7 linked regions of the Oryctolagus cuniculus genome follow. The protein of the gene in region 1 interacts with the protein of each later gene in a pairwise test. Links are inferred from orthologs where the notes say so. Each region holds a gene or a part of one and is shown in the gene's direction. Other genes may lie near its edges. The genes, in order: BYSL, CEP70, CCDC102B, EMD, STX11, COIL and DDX17.

Evidence for each region.
Region 2: the proteins of BYSL (region 1) and CEP70 interact in binary tests that used the Homo sapiens proteins (3 or more experiments, as listed by UniProt). The link is inferred for Oryctolagus cuniculus from reciprocal best matches to the Homo sapiens genes BYSL and CEP70.
Region 3: the proteins of BYSL (region 1) and CCDC102B interact in binary tests that used the Homo sapiens proteins (3 or more experiments, as listed by UniProt). The two-hybrid records come from large-scale screens. The link is inferred for Oryctolagus cuniculus from reciprocal best matches to the Homo sapiens genes BYSL and CCDC102B.
Region 4: the proteins of BYSL (region 1) and EMD interact in binary tests that used the Homo sapiens proteins (3 or more experiments, as listed by UniProt). The two-hybrid records come from large-scale screens. The link is inferred for Oryctolagus cuniculus from reciprocal best matches to the Homo sapiens genes BYSL and EMD.
Region 5: the proteins of BYSL (region 1) and STX11 interact in binary tests that used the Homo sapiens proteins (3 or more experiments, as listed by UniProt). The two-hybrid records come from large-scale screens. The link is inferred for Oryctolagus cuniculus from reciprocal best matches to the Homo sapiens genes BYSL and STX11.
Region 6: the proteins of BYSL (region 1) and COIL interact in binary tests that used the Homo sapiens proteins (3 or more experiments, as listed by UniProt). The link is inferred for Oryctolagus cuniculus from reciprocal best matches to the Homo sapiens genes BYSL and COIL.
Region 7: the proteins of BYSL (region 1) and DDX17 interact in binary tests that used the Homo sapiens proteins (3 or more experiments, as listed by UniProt). The two-hybrid records come from large-scale screens. The link is inferred for Oryctolagus cuniculus from reciprocal best matches to the Homo sapiens genes BYSL and DDX17.

What each region holds. Positions count from the first base shown.
Region 1 is NC_091436.1:127,986,938-127,991,515, reverse strand, and holds the start of BYSL (bystin), read left to right. Parts: upstream 1-1,702; 5' UTR 1,703-2,040; coding exon 2,041-2,308; intron 2,309-4,578. Other genes in the region: MED20 (mediator of RNA polymerase II transcription subunit 20), read right to left, coding at 1,505-1,518. UniProt on the Homo sapiens protein: Required for processing of 20S pre-rRNA precursor and biogenesis of 40S ribosomal subunits. May be required for trophinin-dependent regulation of cell adhesion during implantation of human embryos.
Region 2 is NC_091435.1:143,208,128-143,212,000, forward strand, and holds part of CEP70 (centrosomal protein of 70 kDa), read left to right. Parts: intron 1-573; coding exon 574-664; intron 665-784; coding exon 785-908; intron 909-1,225; coding exon 1,226-1,406; intron 1,407-2,085; exon of another isoform or gene 2,086-2,152; coding exon of another isoform or gene 2,153-2,269; intron 2,270-3,873.
Region 3 is NC_091441.1:9,987,707-9,991,579, reverse strand, and holds part of CCDC102B (coiled-coil domain-containing protein 102B), read left to right. Parts: intron 1-3,398; coding exon 3,399-3,873. UniProt on the Homo sapiens protein: During interphase, forms fibers at the proximal ends of centrioles to maintain centrosome cohesion. During mitosis, dissociates from the centrosome following phosphorylation to allow centrosome separation. Contributes to CROCC/rootletin filament formation.
Region 4 is NC_091453.1:132,603,714-132,608,347, forward strand, and holds EMD (emerin), read left to right. Parts: upstream 1-1,790; coding exon 1,791-1,872; intron 1,873-2,026; coding exon 2,027-2,134; intron 2,135-2,277; coding exon 2,278-2,355; intron 2,356-2,567; coding exon 2,568-2,701; intron 2,702-3,616; coding exon 3,617-3,663; intron 3,664-3,742; coding exon 3,743-4,064; downstream 4,065-4,634. UniProt on the Homo sapiens protein: Stabilizes and promotes the formation of a nuclear actin cortical network. Stimulates actin polymerization in vitro by binding and stabilizing the pointed end of growing filaments. Inhibits beta-catenin activity by preventing its accumulation in the nucleus.
Region 5 is NC_091436.1:24,387,828-24,392,234, reverse strand, and holds the start of STX11 (syntaxin-11), read left to right. Parts: upstream 1-1,406; 5' UTR 1,407-1,546; exon of another isoform or gene 1,547-1,590; intron 1,591-4,407. UniProt on the Homo sapiens protein: SNARE that acts to regulate protein transport between late endosomes and the trans-Golgi network.
Region 6 is NC_091448.1:32,546,595-32,551,000, reverse strand, and holds the start of COIL (coilin), read left to right. Parts: upstream 1-1,261; 5' UTR 1,262-1,331; coding exon 1,332-1,576; intron 1,577-4,406. UniProt on the Homo sapiens protein: Component of nuclear coiled bodies, also known as Cajal bodies or CBs, which are involved in the modification and assembly of nucleoplasmic snRNPs.
Region 7 is NC_091442.1:115,141,279-115,145,151, reverse strand, and holds part of DDX17 (probable ATP-dependent RNA helicase DDX17), read left to right. Parts: intron 1-2,366; coding exon 2,367-2,517; intron 2,518-3,793; coding exon 3,794-3,873. UniProt on the Homo sapiens protein: As an RNA helicase, unwinds RNA and alters RNA structures through ATP binding and hydrolysis.

The sequences.
Region 1 (4,578 bases):
CTGCAGGGCTTGGGAGGGTTGTGGTAGGGGAAACAAGAGTGCAAGCCCCAGAAACCCCTGGCTACTGGGAGAAATTGTGTTCCCTCTACCCCCAACTATTTTTAAAAGAGAAGCCTAGGGGGCCAGTGCTGTGGTGCAGTAGGTTAATCCTCCATTTGTGGTGCCGGTATCCCATATGGGTGCCGGTTCGAGTCTTGGCTCCTCCTCTTCCAATCCAGCTCTCTGCTATGGCCTGGGAAAGCAACAGAAGATGGCCCAAGCGCTTCGGATTGGCGCAGCTCCAGCCATTGGGGCCATCTGGGGAGTGAACGAGCAGATGGAAGACCTTTCTGTCTCTCCCTCTCACTGTCTGTAACTCTACCTCTCAAATCTTTCAAAAAAGAGAAAAAAAAGAGAAGCCTATAACTCCTGGCTTCAGATATCCTGGCCTCCAGGCCTCTCTGATGAGATGCTCACAACCAAGACTTAAAAAAAAAAAAAAAAAGAAGAAGAAGAAAAAAGGTGCAGAGACCCAGCACCTTGGAACTAAGGTCTCCAAGATCCCTGGGTTCATACCCTTCCCCTCCACCCCATCCTCTTCCATCTGGGTTTGAGAACATGTTCAGAGATTTAAAAGTCCATTGGGGGCCAGTGCTGTGGCGTGGAGGGTAAAGCAGCTGCTTGTAGAGCTGGCATCCCATGTGGGTGCCGATTTGAGAGCCGGCTGCTCCACTTCCGATCCAGCTCTCTGTCATGGCCTGGGAAAGCAGTAGAAGATGGCCCAGGTGCTTGGGCCCCTGCACCCCCATGGGAGACCTGGAAGAAGCTACAGGCTCCTGATCGGCCCAGCTCCGGCTATTGCAGCCATTTGGGGAGAGAACCAGCAGATGGAAGCTCTCTCTCTGCCCCTGCCTTTCTTTAACTCTGCCTTTCAAATAAATAAATCTTTTTTTTTTTTAAGTGCACTGAAACTGAATCAACCGTATAAACGTAGTAGGAGGCAGGTCATGAGGAAGTAAAGTGTCTGGAAACCTGATCTTCTAATTCCCAGTAGTTTCCATTTTGATCCTGTAGACCCGAATGAGAACCAGATACAGGCTGATTATTGGGTGGCTACAGGTAGGGGGAGGCGAACACACAAACACCGCCTCGTTGCCTATCTCCTATCAGCTTTAACCCTACCTGCGGGTGGGTTCTAGTCTGAAAAGCCCTGTTTCCGACCTCGAAGTCCCACTTTCTGCACTACTAGGATTTCAAGGGTAGCAAGACGTACCAAGAAAAAGAGAAGAGGGTACACAACCCATGCATAAGGTTCCTGAGATAAAACCTTTTCCTTGCTTCCTTCCAGGAGCAATGGGGCCCATTAGGGCCCGAGACTCACGGCCCTTAGAGTGCCCACATCCACGCAGCCCGAGGGCATTTTGCTCAGCTCCCGGAGAACGGCGGACTTCAGTCCCCGACCCTCCAGGTTTCAAGGGACCTTCACGACCCAAGTCCCGCCCCATAAAACCCTTTGTGATCCTACCAGGTCACTCCCATAGCGTCAGGCCTGGAAAGCGGCACGACCACACAGCCGAAACAGCGCTCTCCCGAAGCCCACAAGAACTAAAAACTACCGCAGGCTCGGGTCGCGGGAGGGGCTCCGGAAGTACGTAAAAACAGAGCGCCGGTTAGACGCACCAGCAGCGACTCTGGGTGACGCCTCCAGTGAGGTCATCGGCCCGATTCCCAGCCCCTCCCCTGGCTTGCAGTTCCGGAAGTTTCCGTTTGGTTGGCCACCCTGGTCCTAGATCCAGAAAGCTAGGAAAGCGTGGCCCGGGCTGCCACCATTTAGAGACGTCAACGTCAAAGGCAATGCATTTGTTCCGGGCTCCGGCTCCAGGACTCGGGAGTTCCCTGCGGGAGTGCAGTGGTGCTGGCTGCTTTTCTGGCCTCCGAACGCGTAGGGGCGCTGTGAGCGCGTGGCCTCTCGGCACAGACCTGGGCGTTCATTGCCGAGCGCACATCCTGGGCTGTCGCCGTACCCACGTGTGAGTTTGCCGGGCCGCATTATCGAGAAAAATGCCGAAATTCAAAGCGGCCCGTGGGGCTGGGGCTCAGGAAAAACACGCGCCCCTGGCCGAGCAGATCCTGGCTGGGAACGCGGTGCGGTCAAGTGCCCGGGAAAAGCGGCGGGGCCGCGGAACCGGGGAAGAGGAGGAAGAGTATGTGGGGCCCCGGCTGAGCCGGCGGATTTTGCAGCAAGCACGGCAGCAACAGGAGGAGCTGGAAACCGAGCACGGCTCTGGGGACGGGCCCGCCAAGCCTCGGGAGCGCGCCACGCGGCTGGGTGAGCGTCCGCGGGGAAGGCAGTAGTTGGGTTGGGGGGTGGACGGCCCACAGGTGTCCGGCAGGGGAGTACCTTGGATTCAAAACCGGGTTGCACGTTGCTCTCTACCGAGAGCAGGGCAGGTGGAAGACCGAACCCTGCAGGCCCGCTCCCTGTTTTTAGTGCTCCTTTCGCCGCGTCCCGCAAGTTAGGCCAATAGGAAGTGATGGCTCAGGCCACCAAGTTCTCCTAGCATTTGTCCAACGGTTTTGTAAATATGGGATGCTCGCTACCGGCTTTGCACGATGCTGGGAGTTTTGATGGATTGCGTGCAGAAATAAACAAGATATAGCTCGGGACCTTACAGTCTAAACCAAGAGAGAGACAATTAGAACAGTAAATTCCATGGGAAAGAAAGTCTCGTTTCTCTGGAAACGATAGCATTCGTGTAGGGGTCAGAGTTGCCCAGCCTGGAAGCTGAGACCTGAAACCGAATGTTCATAACAGAAAAAGCAGTATTGTTTAGGGGCCAAGTGGAGGGAGAGATGATTGAAAAATGTTGACTGTTTTCTCATAGGGGAGAAGCCTTGACCTCTGAGTTGTTTAACCGACTTCTCAGAGCTTATCTTATTTGTAGAAAAGCAGTATTTGACGCAATTGAACCCTGCTCTTCTGGCTACAGTATCTTTATCTGAAAGGCAGAGAGAGAAAACTTGCTTCCCCTAATCTACTTCCCAAACGCCTGCTGCCTGCTACGGCCAGGGCTGGGCCAGACCAAACCTGGAACTCAGTGTAGTTCTTCCGGGTGGGTTGCAGGGACACAATGACTTGAGCTCCCTCCTGTTGTCTCTCAGGGTCTATATTAGTGGGAAGCCTGAATCTGCAGTGGAACCAGGACTCGAACCCTGGCATTCAGTTATGGGATGTGGGTTTCCTAAGCTGTTTCTTTCTTTTTTTTCTTTTTTTAAGATTTATTTATTTACTTGAAAGGAAGAGACACAGAGATCTTTTATCCACTAGTTCACTCCCCAAATGGTCACAATGACTGAGCTGGGCCGGGCCAAATCCGGAGCTCCATCTGGGTCTCCTTGGCTTTTGCAGGCATTTGAAACTTCCTGTTCAAGTTTCATGATTTAACTACCATCTATTTAGTGAGTGTTACCTACTTTTTATTCCAGCCCTGATCTCTTCCAAGAAACTCAAAATTTTTTTATCTATTTATTTGAAATCTTGTATCCACTGGTTCATTCCCCAGATGGCGGCAACCAGCAAGGCTTCATCCCGGTCTCCCCTGTGGGTGCCGGGGCCCAAGCACTTGGGCCATCTTCTGCTGCTTTCCCCAGGCAATTAGCAGGGAACTGGGTCAGAAGTAGAGCAGCTGGGACTTGAACTGGCTTCATATGGGATGCTGGTGTCATAGGCAGCAGCTTCCTTCACCTGCTACACCACAACACCAGCCCCTGAAGCCCAAATTCTTATATTCAGCTGCTATTGGGCATCTCTCATTTGACATGTAAAAGACATCTCAAACTTACCATGTCCAAAACAAACTCTGACTCCCACACCTGGTCCTCCCCTGTCCTTGGTCTCCCTCCCCCTCCCTTTCTTTTCCCCCTCCTGTCTCCATGTCTTATTCATTAGGAAGTTCTGATGACCACCTCCGCCACCTTAGAAACGCCATCATGTCCAAGCCGCCATGTTCTGCGCTCGGGTTATTGTGGTACCCTCCTAACCACGATCCTGTTGCCCCTACAGCTACAGGGTTCTAATAGTGCACAGTGCCCTGTGTGATCTACCTCTATTACCGTCTGACCGCCGGCTTCTTTCCCTTTGTCCTCTACTCCACCATACAAATCTCATTGTTCCTTCTAAACATGGGCAGTTGGAGCCTGTGCCTGGCTGTTCCTTCTCCTGGATTAGTCTACTCCATTGCCTGCAGGCTTGCAGTTTATCTATTTGAAAGGCAGAGTCACAGAGAGGCAGAGAGAGGTCCCATTTGCTGGTTCACTCCCTGGGTGGTCACAACAGCCAGAACTTAGCAGATCCAAAGCCAGGAGCCGGCAGCTTCCTCCTGGTCTCCCACACTGGTACAGGGGCCCAAGGGCCTGGGCCATCTTCTAATCTTGTATTGCTTTCCCAGGCCACAGCAGAGAGCTGGATCAGAAGTGGAGCAGCTGGGACTCGAACCGGCACCCATATGGATGCCGGCACTGCAGGCAGTGGCCTCACCCACCACAGTGCTGGACCCCTCTGTACTTCTGACTTCTCTACTCTGTGTTTTGTCTTAGTAC
Region 2 (3,873 bases), on another chromosome or scaffold:
CTGTCCACTCTGCCTGTAAAAAAAAAAAATTATTTTTAATATATTTTATAATTTTATATAATTATAAATTTTATATAAATATAAAATGCATAAATATATGCAAATATAAGTATATATAAATATATAATATGTACTATATATTATAAATATATATAAATACAAAATGTGAATTTTATATAATTTATTAATTTATATAATTTATATAAATATACAATGTGAATTTTTATATGATTTATTAATATAAAGTAGTTTGTAGTTTTTCTGAGCAGGGCTTTGCTAAAGGATGCAGTTATAATTTCAGTGAACCAGATTTAAGATTTTTGTTTGCTTTAGGTTGCCATTAAGTCCTCCGTATCATTAGTCTGTACACTGCAGTAGTTTGTGCTTATTTGCATATTTCTAGTCAGTGGCTAAGCTTGTTACAAGTGGTAAATGTTCTAATCTTATGCATATAAACTCATTTAATAAAACCTTTTGGTGAACAACCTCTGTTACCTGGAAATACAGGAATTTATATATATTGGGGATTTCTTCACTCTAAGTTGATTCTTTTGTCTTTACTCAAAATTGTAGCAGGAAGAAGCAGAATGGGAGAACATAAATATGCTGTTGATGAAGCATGGCTTAAAACCATTGTGCCTGGTCAAGAGAAAAGATCTTAAAGGTACTTGGATCCTATTTCTGCTCCTTAAGGGGAAAAGGTTCTTTTTACTTTTGAAATTTCTTATCTTAAAAATGTCTTACCCACTTCTGTTTTTACTATCTGTTATGTTTCAAAATGTAGAGTTCATCATTTTTGACAAGCAGTCATCACAAAGGATGAGACAGAATTTGAAAACGTTGGTAGAAGAAACAGCACGTCAACAGAGCATGATACAGGAGCTTATAGAAACTAATCAGCAGCTTAAGTAAGAATGGAAAAATTCTTTTGACTTGTTGATATGCATTCTAAAAATAACTGTCTTGCAAAGAACCTTAAAATTTAGTTTTCGATTTTGAATATGAAGTTTAAAGCTATTTTTATAGGTAAATAGTTAACATTTTAATAGAAAAACCTGTGGTAATAGCTTGGCATAGATACGTAATGGAACGCTATATTTCTTTTTCTGTGAGAAGATAGAAATTTCAAGAATGCAGAAAGTTTTGGAAAGTGAATGTGTTAATATGTTATGTGGTTTGATTTACTTTTAAATACTAAAGGAGAGAATTGTGTGTATTAAATTAGAAATGAACTTCAGCTAGAACAGAGCCGCGCAGCACATCAGGAACAACGTGCCAATGACTTGGAACAAATTATGGAGAGTGTGAAATCCAAAGTTGGTGAATTGGAGGATGAATCCCTAAATAGGGTTTGCCAGCAGCAGAATAAAATAAAAGATCTTGAAAAGGAGCAGAAAACTTTACAGGTACCAAGTTACATATTTTCTTAGATGTTGGTTAGTACTAGAGCAAATCATCCTGATCCTTGGGTCGCTTGCTGAATTCAGTGGTACTTGTGATAGAAGGAAATCTTTGTGGTAACCAATTGGGAAAGATAAAAGTGCCCCTGGAACATAATCATTTCACAGCCTAAGGCACATTCTTCTAATTTTGATATACAGTTATTGCCAAATTTAGAACAGGTTAGTGCTGCCTGTTTGCCAGTTGGGAAATGAAACATTGATTATCTCAGTGGCAAAGAAGTCAAGGAAATTGATAAATATTTGGGGTATATTGAGACTGTTGGCGAAAATAATTTACATAACATGGGCTGTTATGTATATGCAGCCTTTTTTCATTTAGCCTCATTATTTTGAGATTCATTCGTTTGGCTCTGTGTCAACTGCTTAGTCCTTTTTGCTCAGAAGTATTTCATCCTATGGATCTACTATAGTTCATCTACCTGTTGATGAATATTTGAGTTGTTCTCAGTTGATGGTTATCACAAATAGAGCTCTTGTAAACAGCTATTGTTCAAGTATTTGGGTAGACATGAGCTTTCATTTCTCTTGGGTGGATAGGTAGAACTGGAACCACTTAATCATATGTTAATTTTAAAAATTCAGGTGTTTTTTTTTTTTTTTTTTTTTTTTTTTTTTTTTTCAGATTTTTGTTTTCTGAGGGACAGAGTCAGAAATATACAGATTTTCTATCTGCTGGTTTATCTCCCCACATGCCTTCAATAGCCAGGGCTGGGCCACGCCAAAGCCAGGAGCCTGGAATTCAACACAAGTCTCCCTCATGGGTGGCAGGGATCCAGCTACCAGAACCGTCACCAGTGCCTCCTAGAGTATGTGTCCGTAGGAAGCTAGAATCAGGATCAGGGACTCAAATGCAGGCATCCCAAGAGGCATCTTAGCCGCTGCCACAAATGCCCACCCTGTATGTTATTTTATTAAAGACATTGCCAAAGCTTTCCAAAGTGGCTGTACCATTTAGCGTTACTTCCTGAGTACGAGAGTTCTAGTTAATTTTTTTTTTAATTTGGTATGGGACACCTTCATTTTGATGAGTGTTTTCACTAGGTATAGAGTTTTAAGTTGGTAGTTACTTTGAGCATTTGAAATGATCAGATTCCATTGTTTCTACTGAGAATTCTGTTGTCAATTAGTTAACTCTTTGAAGGCAATCTGCTTTCTCTCTGGCTGCTTTTAGTATTTTCTCCTTGTTTTTATTTTGAAGTAGTTTTACTTTGTGCATAGGTGATTTTTGTTTTGACTTATCTTCCTTGGACTTTGTAGCACTTCTCGAATTGGTGGCTTGATGTCTTTCATCAGTTTGGCAAATTCTTAACCATTATGTCTTGATGTTATTTCTGCCCATTCTTCTCAGGACTCCAATTCTGTTGGCATTTATCATATATTCTCCTATGTCTTTCATGGTTTTCTTTGTTGATCTTTTATCTTGCTTATTTGTTATGGATATTTTCATAATTATTATATTTTTTAGTTTTAGAATTTCTGTTCTTTCACTGAATTTTCTGTTTTTCTGTTTTGTGTAAGTAAACATTGAATCTATTTTAAAATATATGTATTATATATAAAATATATATCTGATACAGAAATAGAGATGGTGGTTGCAAGCATCGTGAATGTACTAGACTCCATTGAATTGTTCCCTGCAAAATGGTTAATTTTACTTTATGTGAACTCACTTCCATTTAAATAATTCTGTCTGATAATTTGATTATCTGGTTCTCCTTGGATCCATTTTTATAGTCTATTGTTTCTTTAGGTTTCTATTCTGGTGTGCCTGGTTATTTTTTATTAAGTGCTGAACTCTGTATGGGCACAATTGTTTTTATTTTTGATAGGTAGAGTGGACAGAGAGAGAGACAGAGAGAGAAAGGTCTTCCTTTGCCGTTGGTTCACCCTCCAATGGCCGCCGCTGCAGCCGGCGCACCGCGCTGATCCGATGGCAGGAGCCAGGATCCAGGTGCTTTTTCCTGGTCTCCCATGGGGTGCAGGGCCCAAGCACCTGGGCCATCCTCCACTGCACTCCCTGGCCATAGCAGAGGGCTGGCCTGGAAGAGGGGCAACCGGGACAGAATCCGGCGCCCCGACCGGGACTAGAACCCGGTGTGCCGGCGCCGCAAGGTGGAGGATTAGCCTATTGAGCCACGGCGCCGGCTCTGTATGGGCACAATTGTAACCATGAGGCCTAGACCCTAAAGATAACCATATGTGCTTGTGGTAGACATCCAGGTACAGGAGTAACCTGGGGTCATCTTGATCTGGTGTCAGATGAAGATTTGAAGCTGAGCTTCAGTCTCAAAGATAGCTGATCAATTTCTAGTTCACTTTCACTCTTAGGGTGTAGTGGGAGGTTTCCCAGGGTCTTTATTTGGTGTCTAATTTGTGTTTCCATAGTCTTGCCAGACTAAAACAGGCACGG
Region 3 (3,873 bases), on another chromosome or scaffold:
TGCTATAGCCTGGGAAAGCAGTAGATGTCCTATGTCCTTGGGCCCCTGCACCTGCGTGGGAGACCTGGAAGTCACTCCTGGCTTCAGATCAGCACAGCTTCATCCATTGTGGCCATCTGGGGAGTGAACCAAAGGAAGGAAGACCTTTCTGCCTCTGCCTCTCTGTAACTCTGCCTTTCAAATAAAATAAATCTTAAAAAAAATTTTATTGAAATTGATAATTTTCTTTATTACCTGAAATTTTGAGTACTTTTATAAGTCTTATTTTTCTTTACATTTTTCTTACTTTTAAGTACCCTGTTTCTCTTTCAAAAGGCAGAAAAGAAACCGAAAATTACAAAATAGTAATATATTCTGAGATGATGCATTCATGACTCCTGGCACTAAGGAAAACTTTTGCCTTACCTGTGAGAGCCTGGACTAACCAATTAGTAGGCACTTTTCCATTCTCTAGTCAGAAATGTCTCCTTACAAATAAGGATATTATAATTTGTCTGTGACTATCTAAAATCAGAATATAAACCTAAGGCTCACCATCTTAGGCATCAGATTCCTGTCAGGGAAGAGACATTTAGTTATGTCATTTATCTATTCTTGATTCATTACATTTTATTTGTTTGGCTATCTACTATATTAAAAAAATTTGCCATCATAGCAGCCTGATTGCTATTAATATTTTTATAATGTAAAAAGCAGTGCAAAAACCAGAGTCAAGAGTATTAATATATTTTTGTAGACATCAAAGGCTTTGTGCTACAACCACTGGAAAATGCATTTATAGTCACCTGAAATAAAATTCAAAGAGTACACACAGATGTATAGGAAAGTGAGTAGTTTAATAAACACATATGCATCTTAAATATCCCCATCTCAAGAAAATTGTGCTTGCTTGAGGAAACTCTTTAGAACAGGAAATACTATTGAAGTTCAAGGACTGAATAATTAAACCCAAATCATTTTTATTTAGTCAGATGTGGAAAAAATACATAGTTAATTCTTAGGCAAGATCTCAATGTACCAGAATCCAATTATAGAGTCTTCTGAATACTGGTGGAATAAAAGTTAATGAGACATTTTAAATACATTACAATTTTATGATACTGATTTATTTTTGGAAAGTAGCAAGGATAAATTTAAATTTAATATGCTGTATTAAGTTCTCTGTATTCATTTTGGAATTCCAACAGTAAAAAATCATTACATACTGAATAGTGAACAGACTGACAGATGGATGGATAGATAGTATGTGTGTTTGTTATTTCTAGTTAAGATCACCTTTTATTCTTTTATATATCAGTCTTGCCTTAGTAATAAAACAAAGTTGGTAATTTATATTATCATTGTCCTCCAAATTACAGTAAATGGAAGAACAAAATTACTCATGTACCAAGGCTAACGAATATAATCACATCACGAGTCTGTTATTATAAGTGTTACAATAGTGAATTGATTTTACATCTCAAATTTGTTTAAAATGTTTTTTCAAAATAAAAATTTAATATTAACTTTCTGAAGTCTTTTAATTATGTGCTCATGAATCATAGTTTTAAAAACATTGTATAGTCTTTTATTCCAATAAATCAGGCTTATTATTATATACGTAGTTGATACAGTAGAACCATTCAGTTAGTTGTATAAGTAGATAGGTCCTAAGGAGGAAGTTATGATCTGTAATTACAAAAAAGAAAATAAAGTGAGAGGAATTTATGGCATGTGCATAAAATATTATCTAAGCTTTTTTTTAGATTAGAAAACTGTTTCTGGAAATAAAAATGAGTAAACCACAGGAATTTACTAATTTGTAAATTAACCCGTGTCTTTTAAGGAGTTACTTTAAAAGTTATGCTTGTTATGGTCTCAATATAGTTGTAGTGCTCTATTGAATAAAATAACAGGCATGCAAATTGATAATGATATGCATTCATATATTTGTGCTTTGGTATTTATAATGAAAGCTGATTTTAATTTCTCTACAAGGCTTTGAAAAAGCTAAGACTGCTCAGTGTTATCTCTATGGTGAAGGTGCCGCGTTTCTAGATGGCCCATTTCACCTTTAGCAGTACTCCTTAGATCACCCCAACATACCCTAAGATACCCTAAGAATCTGAGAATGACTTTAAATACATAAAGAGATTCAGTAAATATACCTTTTATAGTGTAAACTATGGATTTTTAAACTTGTGTATGCTTTATCTACTAAAGTTTTTGAGGACAAGGATCATGCCTCATTTATAACAACTTATTTTTGCAGTTCATAAGATTTTAACCATGTAGGAAATTAATTTGAGAATCAGATGTGGCTTTGACTATAAGTAACGGAAAACCTAACCATTGTGGCTCTAATAAATATGGATAACCCCTTTCACATGCTTCCACATGGCATAGACACCACGCGAGAGCTAGCTTGTTATGACTGCTTTCATCTTGATGTTCCAACTTAAGATTTATTTATAAGATAAATAAATTAGAATCAGCGTTAGAGAGAGCGAGTCTCCAATCACTGGTTCACTTCCCAAATGGCCACAATGGCCTGAGCTGGGCAGAGCCAAGGCCAGGAGCCAGGAGCTTCTTCAGGGTCTCCCACATGGGTGCAGGAGCCCAAGCACTTGGGCCATCTTTTGCTGCTTTTCCAGTGTGCATTAGCAAGGAGCTGGATCCGAAGCCAGGACTTGAGCCGGCACCCCTAGGGGAGGCTGGCACTGCAGGCAGGGGCTTACATGATACACTGCAGTGCTGGCCCCTTTTCTACCATTTTAAATATTATTAAATAGTTATGACAATCACCTTCTCCCAGAGCCATGTCCTTGTTTAGGCAGGAAAAAGAAATTGAGGAAAGAGGGTTTTTCATTCTAATGTTCTCCCAAGTAAACCTTGCCTTTCTTTAGCCTGATCCAGATCATGCATTTGTTTTGAGATTATCATATAGTTGTTGACATGGAGTCCATCAAGCAAAGTGTAGATTATTCATGATTTAGCCTCTGGGAATGGGATTCTCCTAGATGCCCTTAGAGTTTGCATTCTACCTGAACAAATCTGAGATTAGTTGCAGAGGAAAATGGGACTGTTGTACAGTTAACTGGTAATAAATGCTATAATTTTGTTTTGTAAGAAGAAATGTTACAAAAGATATAACTCGAATAGAATTTGATATTTTCTCAATTGCATCTTTATATAGTTATTTGTTCAGCAAAATTTAATATGAGAGATTGATTTTTTTTGTTAATTTGCTATTAGAGGAATAGATTCTTCTAAATCTTTAGTTACAACAGAAAAAAAAATATGCACAATTGAAAGATGCATTGTTTACATCAGATTTTTTTTTATTTTAATGTATTTCAATGCTCTTACAATTGTAAGGAAAATTCAAACGTGTAATTTTGTCCTCTGTTTTATCCTAGGCCTTAAACATAAACATGAATTTAGAGTCTATTCATCGACTAATTGAGGAAACACAAATCTTTCGGATGCAGCAGTCATCGATTCAATCCCGCTGTGACCCGTCAGCCCCTGCCTCGCCCCCCAGGGACACGTGGACGCCCTGCCCGCCTCTCCAGGGGCTGCAGCCTCAGGCCCCCCACCGTTTCTGCGCGCATCCACTGCACCCCAACGAGTGGGACGTGTGCGCGGAACTGCGCCTGCGGGAGCTGGAGGAAGTCAAGGCCAGGGCTGCCCAGATGGAGAAGACCATGCGCTGGTGGTCAGACTGCACGGCCACCTGGAGAGAGAAATGGAGCAAGGTTCGCGCGGAGCGGAACAGCGCCAGGGAGGAAGGACGGCAGCTCAGAATGAGACTGGAGCTGACGGTGAAGGAGCTGAGCGAGCTGCGGAAGAGACAGGGCGCGGCCCCTCAGAAGCAGCCCCCGGCCGCCCCCG
Region 4 (4,634 bases), on another chromosome or scaffold:
TACTTGTGGCGAGGCCTCCGAGTGGGGCAATAAGGCAGGTGCCCTGGGGAGGGGGGGTGTTACTTAGGGAGAAGGCAAACCTAGAATTCCTTGACCTCATAAGGAAAGAGCTGGGATCCCAATGGGGAGGGGTGGTGGCGGAAGGGGGGGAACTGAGCAAGCACTCTGTACACACAGGCCTCCGGGAGAGGGGCCAGCACTGCAGAAGAAGGCTTGGAGAGGTGCTGGGCAAGCGGGCCTTGGCCAAAACTAAAAACTCCAGGAGGCAGCTTCATAGCTGCAAATAGTTCAAACTGTCATCTCTCCTGCCTTTTCCTGCCATGCACACTGTCTTTGGGAATGCACACAACTTCTCCCACATTGCTAGGAACAGACTGGGCCAGGTCTTTATTCTAGAATCTGGCAAACGGAAACCCCTCTTCCTTAGGGTTTTTGTCTACGGTCAAAGGGCCTCGTCTCTTCCACATTCTTCCCTGGTCTGTCTGTCCCCATTCTGTGTGAGCAATCTTCCTCAGAGAACTGGCCTGTGACCATCACCAGTTTGGGCCCTTCAGCCTGGAGCTGATCAGAGCCCTCGCACTTTCTTGTCACCAGCTAACATCTGTGAGGCCAGGACGGCACCTCATCTCTTCATGCACCCACTTCTGTCACTTCCTTTCGACTCCCCAAGGGGACAGCCCTCTTCTGATTAAGACCCTTGCCAACCCAGCCACAGTACAGGAACCTGAGCAAGCCTTGGCAGTCTCTCACGGCTCACCAGGCTCCTCTGCCCCTGCCCGGCCCCCTCCTGGTCACTGGGCTCAGGGCCATTCCGACTGGAGCCCCCTTCCCTTCCACCCAGTACCCCGGGTTGACAGTAGGGTGGGCTGGGAGGGCACACTCCCTCTCCGAAGCGCGCTCTGCCCGTGCCCGCTGGAACGGCCCGCCGGGCCCCTTCGAAGGCTGTTTGCTCCAGGAGTGCCCGCGTCCTCCTGGCCCAGTGCCCCATTTCCTCCCGGGTGGAGGGCGGGAGGAGCAAGGGAAGGAGGGAGGGAGGCGATGGGAACCGATGGGCGCAGGTGCGCAGGCGAGGGCCGGTGCAGGTCAGCGAGGCCGGCCTGGGCCAGGGGGTCCGCGTAGCGCACCCAAAGCGTAGACAGCAGTGGCTGGCCCGAGAGCGGCGCTGTGCAAAGGGTGGCTCCTTCCCGCTGCTGCGGGAGAACCCTCGGCCTGGGATCCCGGGAAAAGGGGGACGACGAGTGCAGGCGCAGGGATGTGGCAAGAGTCAACCGGCCCGAACCACCGCAAAGACACCCACGCCGCCGGCTCCCTAGCTCCCACGTTCTGGCCGGTTTCTACCGGTTCGGGTCGCATAGGCTCCGCCCCTCCCGCGAGTCTAGCTCAGAAGCGCCTGCGTGTGACGTCTTGGCGTGCCCGTCCAGCCCCTTTTCTCGAGCGTGCAGCCCCGCCCACTCCCACGGCCTGAGTAGTCTGAGCCACTTTGGCTCCCACACAGGCCCCGCCCCTCTTCCGCCACAAACCAATCTCGCACGTTTTTGAAATACGAGCTCGCCAGGCCCGCCCCGCCCGCTCCCACAGCTAGACCGGTCCGTGCCGGCTCCTCCTTGTGGTTTGGCTCCGCCCCGCGCAGCGCGCGCAGCCTGCGGAGCCCGCGGCCATGACGGGAGCGTGACGCAGACGTGACGCAAGCGCGGCCGCTCCCGAGCCCTGCGAGGCAGTGGTGTTGCTTGGCCTGTGTCGCCAGGCCCGGGCTGCCCCCAGCCCTTCGCCACCTGCCGGCCGCGCCCGCGATGGACGACTACGCGGTCCTGTCGGACACCGAGCTGGCCGCCGTGCTGCGCCAGTACAACATTCCGCACGGGCCAGTCGTGGGTACGCGGGAGCGGGCGGGACGCCTCCCGGGACTCGCTCTCCCGCGCGCCGTCTCGCAGCCCCCCGGTACCCCCCGCCTGCGTCCCCTACCCAGATTCCCTCCCTGGGCTCGCAGCCCACGACCCTGACCGCCCCGCGCCCGCTGTCTGGTCAGGCTCCACTCGCAAGCTCTACGAAAAGAAAATCTTCGAGTACGAGACCCAGAGGCGGAGGCTCTCCCCACCCAACTCGTCTGCTTCCTCGTTCTCCTATCGGTTCTCGGGTGAGCAGCTGGCTGCCGGTGGTGACAGGGAGGGTGGGATTTCGAGGGTGTGGCGTGGGGGGTGGGTTGCTAGCCGAGAGAGGCACTGCGAAGAAGGGAGGGAAGCCTGGGGGAAAATGGTCTCGTCCCCCCCCTCAATTCAGACTTGGATTCGGCATCTGTGGACTCGGATAAGTACGACCTGCCCAAGAAAGAGGACGCCTTACTTTACCAGAGCAAGGGTAAGGCAAGGAATTGACACCCTTAACACCATCACCCCAACACCTTCACCCACCCTGTCCCGGACCGTGGGCGTAGGGAAAACCTGAGGCCTCGACTCCCCACCAGCCTCAGCGACCTGAGAGGGGCCCCAAAAACGCTGTTTAAATAAGGGTCCCTGGAGCAGCTGGGGAACACGGGTCTGCCCTCTGCTACCAGTGCTCCCTTTTTCAAGGCTATAATGATGACTACTACGAGGAGAGTTACTTGAGCACCAGGACTTACGGGGAGCCCGAGTCTGTGGGCACATCCAAAGGCTTCCGGCAACCCGGGACTTCGCTTTCTGATGCTGACACCTCCCACCACCAGGTGAGCTGCCGTCGGGCACCTCATATCCGGGGGCAGCTTGAAGGGATGACAGCTGGGTTTGGGTAAATCCCAGCATCACTGGGTACAAATGCTAGCTCCTAGGTTTCCAGAGAGAGTTAGGATGAGTTAGGACTTTGCTACGGGGCGTGTCAAGAGTATTTGACTAGAGCACACAGGATGTGGCCTGCACCCTGGTCAGGATCTGAAGTTCCAACTCAGAATCCAGGGGGAGAAAAGAGGGTTCTGGGGTCAGTGCTGTGGCACAGCAGGTTAAGCTACCGCCTGCAGTGCCAGCATCCCATGTGCATCCAGGTTGGAGTCCTGGCTGCTCCACTTCTGATCCAGCTCCCTGCTACTGTGCCTGGGAAAGCAGTGGGGGATGGTGTGAGTACTTGGGCTCCTGCCACTCCCATGGGAGACCTGGATGGAATTCCAGGCTCCTGGCTTCAGCCTGGCTCAGCCCTGGCCATTGTGGCCATTTGGGGAGTTAACCAACAGGTGGAAGATCTCTCCCTCTCTAACTCTGCCTTTCAAATAAATAAGTAGAATCTTAAAAAAAAAAATGTTTATTTTCATCTGCTTGAAACCAGAGCAACAGGAAGACAAAAAGAGAAAGTGAGGTCTTCCATCCCCTGGTTAATGTCCTAAATGCCCAGGATGGGGGCCATGGCAAAGCCAGGAGCCCAGAACTCCATCTAGGTTTTCCACAGGGGTAGCAGGGGACCAGAAGCAAACCAGCCAAAACTTGAACTGGCACTCCGTATGGGATATGGGCACCCTAACTGGCAACCAAACCTGCCACGCCACAATGCCTGCCCTGTCTGGCCTTTAAGCAATGGTTAGAGTGGGCTGAGTAATACGACAGGCTGTGCTGACCCTGCTGGCCAGTCCCGTCACCTCGATTCTGGTCTGCAGGTGCGCAGTGACCATCTTTTCTCTTCTGAAGAGGAGGACAAGGACAGGTGAGTAGTGGGAAGGCCCTGGGAGCAGTGATTCTGGGCCTAGCTCTCCTGGCTCACCTGCTCCCCTCTTTTGCATTAGGGAACGCTCCACATATGGCCGTGACAGTGCCTACCAGAGCATCGCACACTACCGCCCTGTTTCCAACGTCTCCAGGAGTTCCTTGGGCCTGTCCTATTACCCTGCATCCTCCTCTTCTGTGGCCTCTTCGCCTTCTCCATCATGGCTCGCCCGCCGTGCCATCCGACCAGAAAAGCAGGCCCCTGCAGCTGGTCTGGGTCAGGACCGCCAGGTCCCACTCTGGGGCCAGCTGCTGCTTTTCCTGGTCTTTGCTGCCTTCCTGCTCTTTGTTTACTATTCCTTGCAGGCAGAGGAAGGCAACCCCTTCTGGATGGATCCCTGAGGGTCTTGATTTCAGAGCCAGCTCTTTGAAGTCCTGGCTGTCTGCCTTAGTGCAGTGTGTGCTGGGGGTGGGGGTGGGGGCTTTTCTGTGTGTTCTAGCTTTGGGGGCTGGGCCTAGCCCTGAGCAGTGCTTGCTCCCCCTGCCTGCTCCCACCAGGGAGGCAGCAGACTCGGGCCCTTCACGTTCTGGTAGGCCTGGGCGTGCCTTCCTCTGGAGCCTCCTGGCCCTGCTTGCCTCTGACCCTTAGGGCCTGGGAGGGCAAGACTTCACTCCTTCAGAGATGTTGTCATGTGCTCATGCATGCCTCCTGTTCGTTGTCACCTTTTTGAGGTTAACCAAGGGCCACCTCGACTTTGTTTTCGTGGACGCAATAAAGACCGTTTATTTTTAATGTGTTGGCTCTTCCTGCTGGGGGAGAGGCTGGCTGCCATGCTTTGGGGTCTCTGGGTCTTAAGGTTTTTTAAGGATTGTCACCTGGCTTTATTGATTCTGTGGTTTTGCTTTGGTCTTGGCATAGGAATCAAATGCTACCGCTGACTAGGTTCATGTGTTGTTTGGGGGTTTATTCCC
Region 5 (4,407 bases), about 100 Mb from region 1:
ATACTACCGTCACACCTATGTAAGGACCATTGGGCTAAGGACAGACCCCATATACCACAGTCGCTGTACAACAGACCGGCTGAATAGGAGACTGCTTCATGGGTTTGTGTAAGTATCCTTTGATTTTTGCACAAACAGCACATCAACTATTAAGGCAATTCTCAGAAATGTGCCATCTTTAAATGATGTTTGTTAATTTCTTGCTCAAACCATTCAAGCTTTGGCCTTTGGTTGCTTCTCTTTTTTTTTTTACATTCTCCCATCTTTGTGGGAGTTTGGTTTGTTTGTGTCTCTCTTTCTTTCCCTCCCTTCCTCCGTCCCTCCCTTCCTTCCTTTCTTCCTTTCCCCTCCCTCCCTCCCTCCCTTCCTTTCTTCCTTCCTTCCTTCCATTTATTTGAGAGGGGGAGGAAGAGAGAGAGAGAGAGAGCACGCGAGCGAGCGCACTAGCTTCCATCTGCTGGTTCACTCTCCAAATGGCTGCACTGGCCAGAGCTGGGCCGGTCTGAAGTCAGGAGCCCAGAGCTTCACCTGGGTCTCCCACGTAGGTGCAGGAACTCAAGGACTTGTGCCATCTTCAGCTGCTTTCCCAGGTGCCTTAGCAGGGAGCTGGATAGGAAGTGGAGCAGCTGGAGCACCAACCAGTATCCATATGGGATGCCGGTGCTGCAGGCAGCTAACCCGCTGTGCCACAGCGCTGGCCCTTATTTATTGTGTGTGTGTGTGTGTGTGTTTAATGAACACTATTCTTACCTTTAAGTCTCAGCCTCGGTCTTCAAGGCTCTTCCCACCGCCTTCCACAATACATACGCACTGTATCTGCTTCCCTATTCCCACAAAGACGTCAGAGGCTTGGCAATATTTTGGCCATGGTCGTGTCTCTGGCTCCTCAGTGAATGAATGAACTCAAACTGGCGTTGGCAAAGGTTTGAAGGGTGCCGGTCGGCGTGGGTTCTGGAAAGCCAGTGCCCAGCCATCGTGTGACCTGCAGCCTCGTCTCAGCCGTCCTCTGGCGGCCACACCCACGCTCAGAATTCGCTTCAAGCGTCCTCGCCACGGAAACGCACCCTGCTGCAAATGTCACCAGAGCCGCGGGGTTTCCCCGGGAAAGTCCGGCGCTTCCCGCAGGGGCCCAGAGGAAGGCGGGGGACAGATGATGGCTTCGGGTGGCCAATTACCCCGACCTCACGGGAGCGCCCGGCGGCGCACCGCAGGCGCGCGCGAGCCCCAGGTTCCGGGCAGCCCGGAGCGCACCGGCAGCGGGCGGGGCGGGAACCTGCGCGCGGGCAGCTGGTGGACGCGGCGCCTCCGCGCTGTCGTCCCGGGGCGGGGCCTCGATCCCAGCCGTGGGCTCTTGCGAAGTGTCGGGGGCCGAGCCGGCGGCGCCCAGATGCGGCCTCGGCGGCTCGGAGTTCGGGAGGCGGCGGCTGAGCCCAGCCTCTGGCGCGGGAGGAGCGGAGGCTGTGGGAGGCGGCGAGAGCTGAGCCGCGGAGAGGCGCGCAACAGGTTTTCTCTGCGTCCTGGCGCCCAGCGCGAAGCCGGCGCTCGGGTAAGAGAGCGGCTTCTCAGCTCGCACGGTCGCCCCGGGTCCAGGTTCGTTCCTTCCTGCCTGGGTCTCCTTTTCTGTCCCGAACGCGGGGAGCTGGGAGTGTGGGCCCAAGGAGGGCGGGAGGGGACGCTCACTTGCCCGGCGACAGGATGCTGGGCCCAGGTTTTCGGGTTTGGCCCTGGTCCACCCCTCGCTTCCTGGCCCTTAGGGACGCCACACTGGGTTTCTCGTACGGAGCGCAATGGCTTGTTGTTGGTTCTTATTTATTTCGTTTTTCCAAGGCGAGGGACTGAGGATTTAGTGGGCATTGTTCTCAGAGACACCTGTTGTCTGCCTTCTGCAAGGATCCACCCACCCCACTTTTGTGAAAGTGGGGGCATTACTTCGGCCTGATAAAACGGCTCACTTCCTAGTGGGGTGCACTTTCTCAAAAACAGAATGAGGACCTCTTGACTTGAACTTGACAGCGTGACTCAGGAGCCAGGAAATGCGGACCAAATGATAGCGCTGAGGCGGTTCCTGGCAAGCGCTCGCGACTTTCTCAGAGCACGCAGGCAGAGGCTGCCCCGGAGTGAATTCGCTGGCTGGCGGCGCCCAGAGGACCCTCACCAGGAGCCGCGCTTCTCCCCGCGCTGCGCAGGCCGGCCCGTGCAGAAGCCGTTTCTCAGCAAAGGGAGGAGTTGTTATTTCTACACGGGTCTCCAAAAATGAGTCACAGGGCTGCTCTGTTAATTGTGAGACTTCCTTAAGTAACTTTTGAAACGTGAGGTTTGCTCCGTCTGTCTTTAAAATAACAATACAGATGTGAAATGTATGCACAGCCAAACTGGGGCAGGCGGTTGTCCCAAGTGACAATTCCAGTTTTCAGTTTCCTAGAGCTCCCGTCTGGGCCACACATCAGCCAGGGTCATTTGGGCTGCTCTAAGATAGCCATGGAGATCGCGTGCTTTACCGTAGACGCCCAAGAAAAGGATTTTTTATTTTTTAATTTCAGAGGAAGAGGAAGGGAGTGGGGAGAAAGAGAGGGAGAGAGGGGAGAGAGAGAGGGAAGGGGGGGGGAGAGAGAGAGAGAGCGTGAGAGTGAGAGAGCGCACTTCCATCTGCTGGTTCACTCCCCAGACACCCACAATGGTTTGGGCTGGGTCAAAGCCAGAGGAACTCAATCCAGGACTCCCACGGTGGTGGCAGGAACACAATTACTTTAATCTGCCAGCTGCTTTGGCAGAAACGCAGGAGTCAGGAGCAGGAGCTGGGAATCGAACCCAGGCACTGGAATGTGGTACACAGGTGTCTTAATCTTCTAGGCTAAATGCCCACTGCCACAAGAAAGTGAATTTCATTATTCAATAACTGTCTTTCTACTTTCACTTTATGGCACAAATGCTCGTTTAACAAAATATCATTTAACAAAATGATTATAAATCCCTCTCTGAGATGAAAGTATTTCAGACAGTTAGTTTGCCTTTCCTGAAGCAGTGCTAAAACCACACACAAAATGCCATGCCAGTTGGAGGTGAGAAATTAGAAAGGTTAAGCTGACAGGTCCCACTGCAACTGAGCAGCAGATGTAGGAAGTGGCTGTGCACTAATCCAGCACACAGGAGAGAAGAGAAACAGCTAGCCCCAACCAGAGAGTTACCAAGCACCTTCTCTGTGCTAGCTCCTCCCTGAGCTCTGGTTATACAGCCGTGGAAGGACAGGATCCTTAGAGATGCATGGAAGGCCAACAAATACAGTGGAAAATCCAATATAATGAGGTGAGCGCCATGATCTATCTATGCCCAGCACAGTCTCTGTCCCAACCTGAGTGTTATTTCCTCAGATCTGTGATTTGGAATAGACTGGGTCATTGCTGGGGGAACAAAGAGGGTTTTAAGTTTAGCCATCTAATTGTAGAGAGCTTATTCTTCATTTCATAACAGATTTAATATATATTAATTAGAGAGGCATGATTTCAAGTTGTTTGAATTAACCATATTTCCTATTACTATTATTAAGATTATTTATTTGAGAGACAGAGTTACAGACAGAGAGAGACAGAGAGAAAGGTCTTCCACCTGCTGGTTCACTTCACAAATGGCCGCAACAGCTGCAGCTGGGCCGATCCAAAGCCAAGAGCCAGGAGCTTCCTCCAGATCTGCCATATGGGCGTGGGGGCCCAAGCACTTGGGCCATCTTCCACTGCTTTCCCAGGCCTTTTTTTTTTTTTTTTTTTTGACAGGCAGAGTGGACAGTGAGAGAGAGAGACAGAGAGAAAGGTCTTCCTTTTGCCGTCGGTTCGCCCTCCAATCGCCGCCGCGGCCGGCGCACCGCGCTGATCCAAAGGCAGGAGCCAGGTGCTTATCCTGGTCTCCCATGTGGGTGCAGGGCCCAAGCACTTGGGCCATCCTCCACTGCACTCCTGGGCCACAGCAGAGAGCTGGCCTTCCAGGCCATAATCATAGAACTGGATCAGAAGAGGAGCAGCCAGAATGTGAACCGGCACCCACAAGGGATGCCAGTGCTGCAGGTGAAGGCTTAGCCCACTATGTCACAGAACTGGCCTCCGTATTTCCTGTTATTTAATAACCAGGTAAAAATAAGCCCAGATTATTATCACCACTGGATGATCACAGACACTTTTAGTTATATATCTTTTGAAAACAGAGTGAATAATTAATGAACTATAACTGCTTTTTTTTTTTTTTTTTTTTTTTTTTTTTTTTTTTTTGACAGGCAGAGTGGACAGTGAGAGAGAGAGACAGAGAGAAAGGTCTTCCTTTGCTGTTGGTTCACCCTTCAGTGGCCGCCGCAGCCGGCGCGCTGCGGCCGGCGCACCGCGCTGATCCGATGGCAGGAGCCAGGAGCCAGGTGCTTTTCCT
Region 6 (4,406 bases), on another chromosome or scaffold:
CCCCCCATGACTTCCCTCCCACCCGCAACCCTCCCCTTTCCCGCTCTCTCTCCCCTTCCATTCATATCAAGATTCATTTTCAATTTCAATCTTATAATACAGAAGATCAGTTTAGTATACATTAAGTAAAGATTTCAACAGTTTGCACCCACATAGAAACACAAAGTGAAATATACTGTTAACTCTTTGCTTTTTGACAATATTGAACAAAAAACTGATTTTTTGGTTGCTGGTGTACTGAAAACATTTTTTAAAAATAAATATGTGATTTCATTACGTAAACTGTAAGGAACTGACATTGTCAGAACCTCAGTCTTTCCATTCTGATTTTATTTACATGAGCAAGTTTCCTGAGGATGTTACATCTATAAAAACAGACCCACAATTAATATGGAGCCCTGTTTAGTGATATTCATCCTTACATACTTGGACTAACGGAAAATCCCTCACAGCTTTGCCTTTGATACTTTCATTGTTCTTTTCCTACATAATAGTGATGCATAATTACATGTAATGTTTGAAGCTATTTAGATCAATTATGTATCAGTAATAATAGCATAATTTAATACAAAAGACATAGAGCTTTAGGAAAAAAACTTGAAAAACTGTTTTTTTTTCAGTGCATCTTCTGAGTGTCCGAAACCTGCACCTACTCACCTACTACTTTGGGGAAGTTACTTATCCTCTCTGAACCTTGGTTTGTTATGTATTCTGAATGACGATAATAGTTCATACCTTTGACATGACAATTAAAGGGTTAACATGTATATATTTTGTAGGAAAAATGGATATTAAAGGAATAATGTAAAATTTTGCACTTACCTACCTACAGGTAAATAAAAGGACTTATTTTTGCATTTTAAAATATGGATGGTGGTGGACATCAAACAGCTAGAGTACTTTTTTCACTGGATACATTTAGAAGAGAGATGTCAATGTCGACGACACGCTAGAAATGACATCTTTCTCAACTCCTTGGGATGAAAGATTGGGTCAACTAGTATTGGGAGTTGCCACCTTTTTTTTTTTTTTGCCATCTTTTTTTAAAGAATCTTTGACGTACTTTAGACCGCCACTGGTGCCAAGTGCTTGTTCATCCAGCGACTTGCCTAGATTCGGGCCCTCCATTTATCTGATAAGAAAGGAATAAAAGCATTTATTTCTTTTGTACTCTTCCCTAGCCCTGTCCTGAACAAAACTCTTTATCAACCGCGCTCCTGCAGTAGCCACTTGCTGCCGAAAGGTGGCACTCGGCAGCGGCTCCAGGGGGCGGGGGCCGCCTGAGCACGGGAGCTTTGTGGTGTCTCTCGGCTTCCGTTGAGGACGGCAAGATGGCAGCTTCCGACACGGTTAGGTTACGGCTTCAATTTGATTATCCACCGCCAGCCACTCCACACTGTACAGCCTTCTGGCTTCTGGTCGACTTGAACCGATGCCGAGTCGTCACGGATCTCATCAGTCTCATCCGCCAGCGCTTCGGCTTCAGTTCGGGGGCCCTCCTGGGCCTCTACTTGGAGGGGGGGCTCCTGCCCCCAGCCGAGAGCGCGCGCCTGGTGCGGGACAACGACTGCCTCAGGTGCGCGTGGGCGGCGGGCCGGGGACGCGCCTGCGCTGCCCGGGCGCCTCCGGCCGCGGGGCCGCACGGGTCGGCGGCGGGGGGCGGGGGCGTGGGCTTGGCGGGGCGCGGGCCCCGAGGGCCGGAGCGGTGTGGTCGAGGAGGGGCTCAGGAGCCTGCGTTTTGACGAGCGCCCTGCAAGCCTGGGATGCTCCCCAGCGCAGGTGGACGGGACGCGGGACAACCCTGCTGTGCGCCTGCCGGCCGGCCGGGAGTTCGCGCAGCCTTGCTGTCCAAGCCCTCGCTCAGCCTGGCGCCGTGGTCGTGCGCACGGTGCCAGGGACCGGCCTTCCCTCGGCCGCGGGCAGGGGCAGGGGCAGGGTTCGGGGCAGGACGCCAGGCAGACCGGAGCTGGCGTGTTTTCTTCAACCGTGTGCCTTGTCCGGCGTTAGCTCTGTGATAGCCCCGGGGGCATTCGGTGTCTCGCCCAGGCGTTTTGGGGTCCACTCACATAGATAGGTGTTTGGGTCCTTTTGGGTTCAAGTAGGTGGATTTGAGAAAGGCAGAGTCATTCCAGGTGTGCTTTTGGAAATGTAGAGAAGATGGCGCTGAGATGACTGTCCCAGAGCAGTAGGAGCTGCTGGCGAGGTGTGGAGATGCGGTCATTCCAGCTCAGATGCGTGTCTTGGACTGATTGTTTCAGGGCTTATTATTTTTTTTCCTCTTTAAACTTATTTATTTTATTTACTTGAAAGACAGATCTCCCATCTACTGGTTCACTCCCCAGACAGCCACAATAGCCAGGGCTTGGCCAAGCCAATGCCGGGACCCAGAAATGCAATCCAGGTCTCCCATGTGTGTGGCAGGAGTCCAACAACTTGAGCCATCACCTGCTGCTTCCCAGGGTAAACACTGTAAGAAGCTGGAACGAGAATGGGGCTGGGACTGGAACCCAGGTAGTCTGATGTGGGATGTGGGCATCCCAACCAGCATCTTAACTGCTGTGCCAAACACCCACTCCTGTTTCTCTTTTCTTATGAAAATTATTTATTTGAGAGCCAGAGAGGGAGCGAGCAAGCTCACCATCCACTATTTCTTTTTCTTTTTTTTTTCTTTTTCTTTTTGACAGGCAGAGTGGACAGTGAGAGAGAGAGACAGGGAGAAAGGTCTTCCTTTGCCGTTGGTTCACCCTCCAATGGCTGCCGCGGCCGGTGCGTGCGGCCGGCGCACCGCGCTGATCTGATGGCAGGAGCCAGGTGCTTCTCCTGGTCTCCCATGGGGTGCAGGGCCCAAGCACTTGGGCCATCCTCCACTGCCCTCCCGGGCCACAGCAGAGAGCTGGCCTGGAAGAGGGGCAACCAGGACAGAATCCGGCGCCCCGACCGGGACTAGAACCCAGTGGTGCCAGCGCCAAGATGGAGGATTAGCCTAGTGAGCCGCGGCGCCGGCCTCCCATCCACTGTTTCATTCCCTAAATGTCCACAACAGCCAGGCCTAGGGCAGGGCAGAAGCTGTGGGTTGGAGTACGATTTAGGTCACCTACATGAGTGGCAGGGGCCCATTCAGTCACCTGAGCTATCACACTGCCTCCCACAATCTGCAGGAATTAGCAGGAGGCTGAAATAAGGAGGGGGCTGGGACTAGAGCCCAGGCACTGCAGGGTGGGATGTGGGCTCTCAAGCACTAGACGGGATACACACTCCCTCTTCCCCTGTAAGCTTCAGCTTATGGTGAATTAACTCCAGAGTGGTGAACCCGCCCACTTCTTTTGGCTTGCCCCTTCCCCAGAATATCGTTGACTATTCCTTTTCCTACCTAGAGCACGTCGTAGTCACAGGATTTCTTCCGAACACTAGGGAATTCAGTTTGGAACATGACCGCCTCTTTGGCTCTCTCTCAGATCAAGAATGCTGTGATTTAATGATGTTCCACTGTTTCAAATGACAGCTTGAAAAAGCCTAAAATTCAGAGTTCTTTATCCTATTTATTGTCTGTGAAATGGGTCTTTATTCCCTCTGCAATTTAGGGAGTATTTAAATATTACAGTTGTAAGGACTGTCCCCTCCTAGAGGGTGTACTTTCTAAACTCTCCTCTGCCCAATGATTAATAACTTGCTGCCAGCTACCCATGGCTGTACTGCAGTTGATGAGTCATCTGGGAAATAATATTCTTTATAATGAAGTTAGCAGTGTCAGAAACCTCATGAAAACTGTTACACGTAAATTTCCCCTGAGTGTGTCAGCTCATGGCAAGACATGCCTTTTGCAGCTGGCTTCAGTGGTAAATGGGTAAAGCTTGGGAAAATCCTGAAAAATATTGGATTGTTTCTTGCCTCCAATCATCCAGCCTTCCCTTGACCGATTGACCTTTTGTTCATAGCTACCAAAGAAAACGTAGTCTCTGCTGTGGTTGGATGTGGTTGTGTGTACCCCCAAATCAGCATATTGAAAGCGTAGTCCCAAGTGTGGCAGTATTGGAAGGTTGAGATCTTTAAAACATGGGACCTGTGGTAGCTGGTAGGTCACCGACGGTACTGCCCTCAAAAGGATGAAGAGAATTCTCTTGGGACCCTAAGTTAATTCTCCTGAGAGTGAGCGTCATAAAAGAGTGAGTGTGACCCCGACCGCTCTGGTTTCCTTTCTCTCCGTGTGATCTTTTCCACTTGTGCAGTCTCCTGCTGTGGTGCCTGCTGCCAGAGTCCAGCTAACGCTGGTGCTCACCAGGCCCTCGTGAGGTGCAGCAAATGCTAAATGCTAGTGCTGTGTCCTTCCTTGAACATTCAAAACTGTGAGCTAAATAAATTTTCTTTTTTGAGAGTGAGAGCTCCCATTTCCTGCCTGCAGCAGCCAG
Region 7 (3,873 bases), on another chromosome or scaffold:
CTTCTTCCAGGTCTCCCACACGGGTGCAGGTGCCCAAGGACTTGGGCCATCTTCCACTGCCTCCCCAGGCCATAGCAGAGAGCAGGATTGGAAGTGGAGCAGCTGGGTCCTGAACCGGTGGCCATATGAGTTACACAGCGAGAGGCAAAGACATCTTCCATCTGCTGGTTCACTCCTCAGTTGGTCACAATGGCCAGGGCTGCACCAGGCTGAAGCCAGGAGTTTATTATGGGTCTCCTACGTGGGTGCAGGGGCCCAAGCCCTTGGGCTACCTTCCCCTGCTTTTCCCAGGCCATTTTTAGCAGGGGGCTGGATCAGAAGTGGAGCAGCTGGGATCTGAAGTGGTCCCTATGTGGAATGCTTGCATTGCAGGCAGTGGCTTTACCTGCATGCTGTGTCCCAGTGCTGGCCCCAAGAAACAATTTTTTAAAATAACAATGATAAGCTTCAAATAAGCCTTCAAAGAAAACGTATGTGGTAACAGCAGTGGAGTCACACCCGAGATCCGTGTGAGAGCAGGCTGGCGGTCTCTGCAGACTGTTTCTTGAGCACTTTACAGTGTTTGCTGCTTTACAGGTGTGGGCGACAGAGCCACTCCAGGTGGCCTTTGGTCTGTGTAACATTGAGCCTTACACCTGAGTGCGTATTCAAAATGTCACTGATAGGTGTCTCCCTGTGCTTTCAGTTTTCTTTGCATTCCTAGTCTCTTCTGGATAAGCAGTTCAGTCAGCGGCATTAGCCCAGTTCCTGCCTGTGGGTGTGACTATGCAGTGAACCCGGGGCACTCACGTGTAGAGAAACGTCTGGCTGACTGTTCTGACTCTTGAAACACCACTCACTGTCTTGGGACCAGCCCTGCCTGCTGTCTGAGCCGAGGGTTCTGATGCTTTCAGTTGTAGAGAGCTGAGGGCCCTTAGAGGAGTGCAGCTACTGCCTGTCCGCTGCAAAGTGGAACTTTGTGCAGGTGAGTTAGGGTGGGAAAGGGAAATTCAGTTCAGTGAGGTGATTGACAAGGAGTGAGGAAATGGGATGAAGAAACACTTTATACAATTTGTGTGCCAAACACAGCCCCAAACTTTGCGTAGGTTGAAATAGGGGAAATGAAGGCCATCTTACTGTTAGGATTTTTCTAGGGAAAGTAGCTTGTATTTTCTATTTCATTTTCGGTGGGTGGCCATATTTGTATTCCAGTTGAGCTTACCTGCTACAAAACACAAAAGGGGCCAGTACTGTGTGATGGGTTAAGACGCCACCACCATGCTGGAATCTGGAATTACGTGAGTGCTGGTTGGAGTCCTGGCTACTCTTGCTTCCAGTCGTCCTCCCTGCTGATGCCTGCATGGGCCCCTGCCAGCCAAGTGAACAGTCTGGGTGGAGTTGCAGTCCTAGCCCTTGTAGCATCTGTGGAGTGGAGTAGGAGAGGGAAGTTTGTCTTGTCTCTTCCCCTCTCTAACTCTGCCTTGCACAAAAATGAGTCAATTTTTAACCACAAATTCATTTTAAAGCATTTTTAATTTTTTTTTTTTTTTTGAAAGGAAGAGGTCTTGTATCTATTGATATATTCCTATGTGCCTGCAACACCCAGGGCTGGGCCAGGCCAAAGCCAGGAACCTGGAATTCTACCCACTTTGGGTAGTGGAGACCCAAGTACTTTAGATATCACCTGCTGCCTCGCAGGGCGCATGCTAGCAGGAAGCTGGATCAGGAGTGGGGCTGGGATTGAGCCCAGGCACTCTGTCTTGAAGGCCCACTCCAAGAAATGGATTTTAATAATCTGTTTGCTTTTAAAACCTTAAGTAACTTACTAATAGCTTTTTCTTCATATGAGTTCTATTTGAGAGCAAAAGTAAAAGGTGGAAAGAGGAGGAAGAAAAGGTCATACATCTTAGTTGTGGGTCTTTGAGTAGCGTAAACGAGGTGAAGACCAGCCCAGCAGTCCGTCACAGGTCCCAGTGGTCTTCCTGCCCAGGTGAGCAGACAGTAGCGGGGCTCGTCACAGGGGAGAGATCCAAGAAGCTGCTCCGAGTGTGGGCTCCACCTACATTGGCATTTTCCCGCTGTCCACAGCCTGGCTGTTGATTTAAGCTCGGTATTTCCCTGCATGTCTGTTACGCGGGAGTAGAGACTTAAGTCTGTTTCATTCACAGTGTCTTTAGCACTACTTAAAACAGTGTTTGGTGTACAGTTGGTACCCAGTACCGCTTGTTGCTAACCTGTACTGTATTTATTGTCAGATTCTATTTTAAGCACTGAAGAGTAATAAAACAGTCTGGGAGACTGCTGGTGTATACTGGGAGTCCACCTTTGTGTGTGTGTGCGCCATGTAAGGTACAATAATATTAATTGATTTAAAATGCTGATTCTAGGTTTGGAGCAAGAGGTGGTGGTGGCCTTCCCCTGAAGAAATTTGGTAATCCTGGGGAGCGTTTACGTAAGAAGAAATGGGATTTGAGTGAGCTTCCCAAGTTTGAGAAGAATTTTTATGTGGAACATCCAGAAGTAGCAAGGCTGACTCCAGTACGTTTGTTTGTTTTTATCTTTTTATGTGCAGTATGAGCAAGAGTTTGGTTGTGTACTGCTGTTGCCCTGAGGTTTTCTCTGGGGGGTGAGAAGTCCCTTGGGCTCTTCGGAAGCCCTCTGATGCTCCTGAGAGGCAGACACCCCGTGGGCGGGTTTCTCGTGCTGAGTGCTCTCTGACCTATTTACCATACATGGTTTTAACGGTCTTGTAGATTGGGCGATGTCTTTTCATCTATGAAGTGTAATAATTTTAAAACAACATTGTATAGTCTTTTTAACCTCATTATGATTGCTTTCCATTCTATCCATAAAATGGTTACTTGTTCAGAAGAAAGTGTATTGAAAACTTGGGCCTGAACTTCCTTGTTATATTTTTTCCTCTCTTCCTAGTTCTGACCTTGGGTGGGTGAATAACTTTTTTTTTTAAAGATTTTATTTATTTATTTGAGAGGTAGAGTTATAGACAGTGAGATGGAGAGACAGAGAGAAAGACCTTCCATCCTCTGGTTCATTCCCCAAATGGCTGCAACAATTGGAGCTGAGCCCGTCTGGAGCCAGGAGTGTCTTGCAGGTCTCCCACGTGAGTGCAGGCAGGGGCCCAAGCATTTGGGGCCAACCTCTGCTACTTCACTAGGCACAGCAGAGAGCTGGATCAGAAGAGGAGCAGCCCGGACTGGAACCAGCACCCATATGGGATGCTAGGGCCGCAGGCGGAGACGTGACCCACTACGCTACAGCTCCAGCGCCATGACTGACTCTCTTGAGTTTGTTTTCTCCTGTGGAAATAGAACCCTTAATCACCTACATTGTTAATTAACTCACAAAGTTGAATATATATAAAACCAGTAGTGAATACAGGGCCTGCAATTGAGTGGTGGATCAAGCCCAGCTGATCCAGTTCTCTGCTAGTGCGCCTGGGAAAGCATAAGATGGTCCACGTGCTTGGGCCATTGCAACCACGTGGGAGACCTGGCCGAAGCTCCTCTGTTTTTGGCTTGGCTGTTGTGGCCTTTTGGGGAGTGAACCAGTGCATGGAAGATAGATCTCTCTTGCTCTTGCTCTCACTCTCTGTGTGTCTATGTTGATATATAGAACTCTGCCCTTCAAATAATTTTTATTTTTTTTCTTTTTTCTCAAATAATTTTTATAAAGATATTGCGTATATTTGCCACTGTGACTGTGGATTGGGTGTTGATTTTCCAGCTGACAGGAATGTAAGTTTTAAGTATTTGGAATAACTTGTTTACTAATTTGTCTTCATTTACTTCCATAGTATGAGGTTGATGAGCTACGCCGGAAGAAAGAGATCACAGTGAGAGGGGGAGATGTTTGTCCTAAACCTGTGTTTGCCTT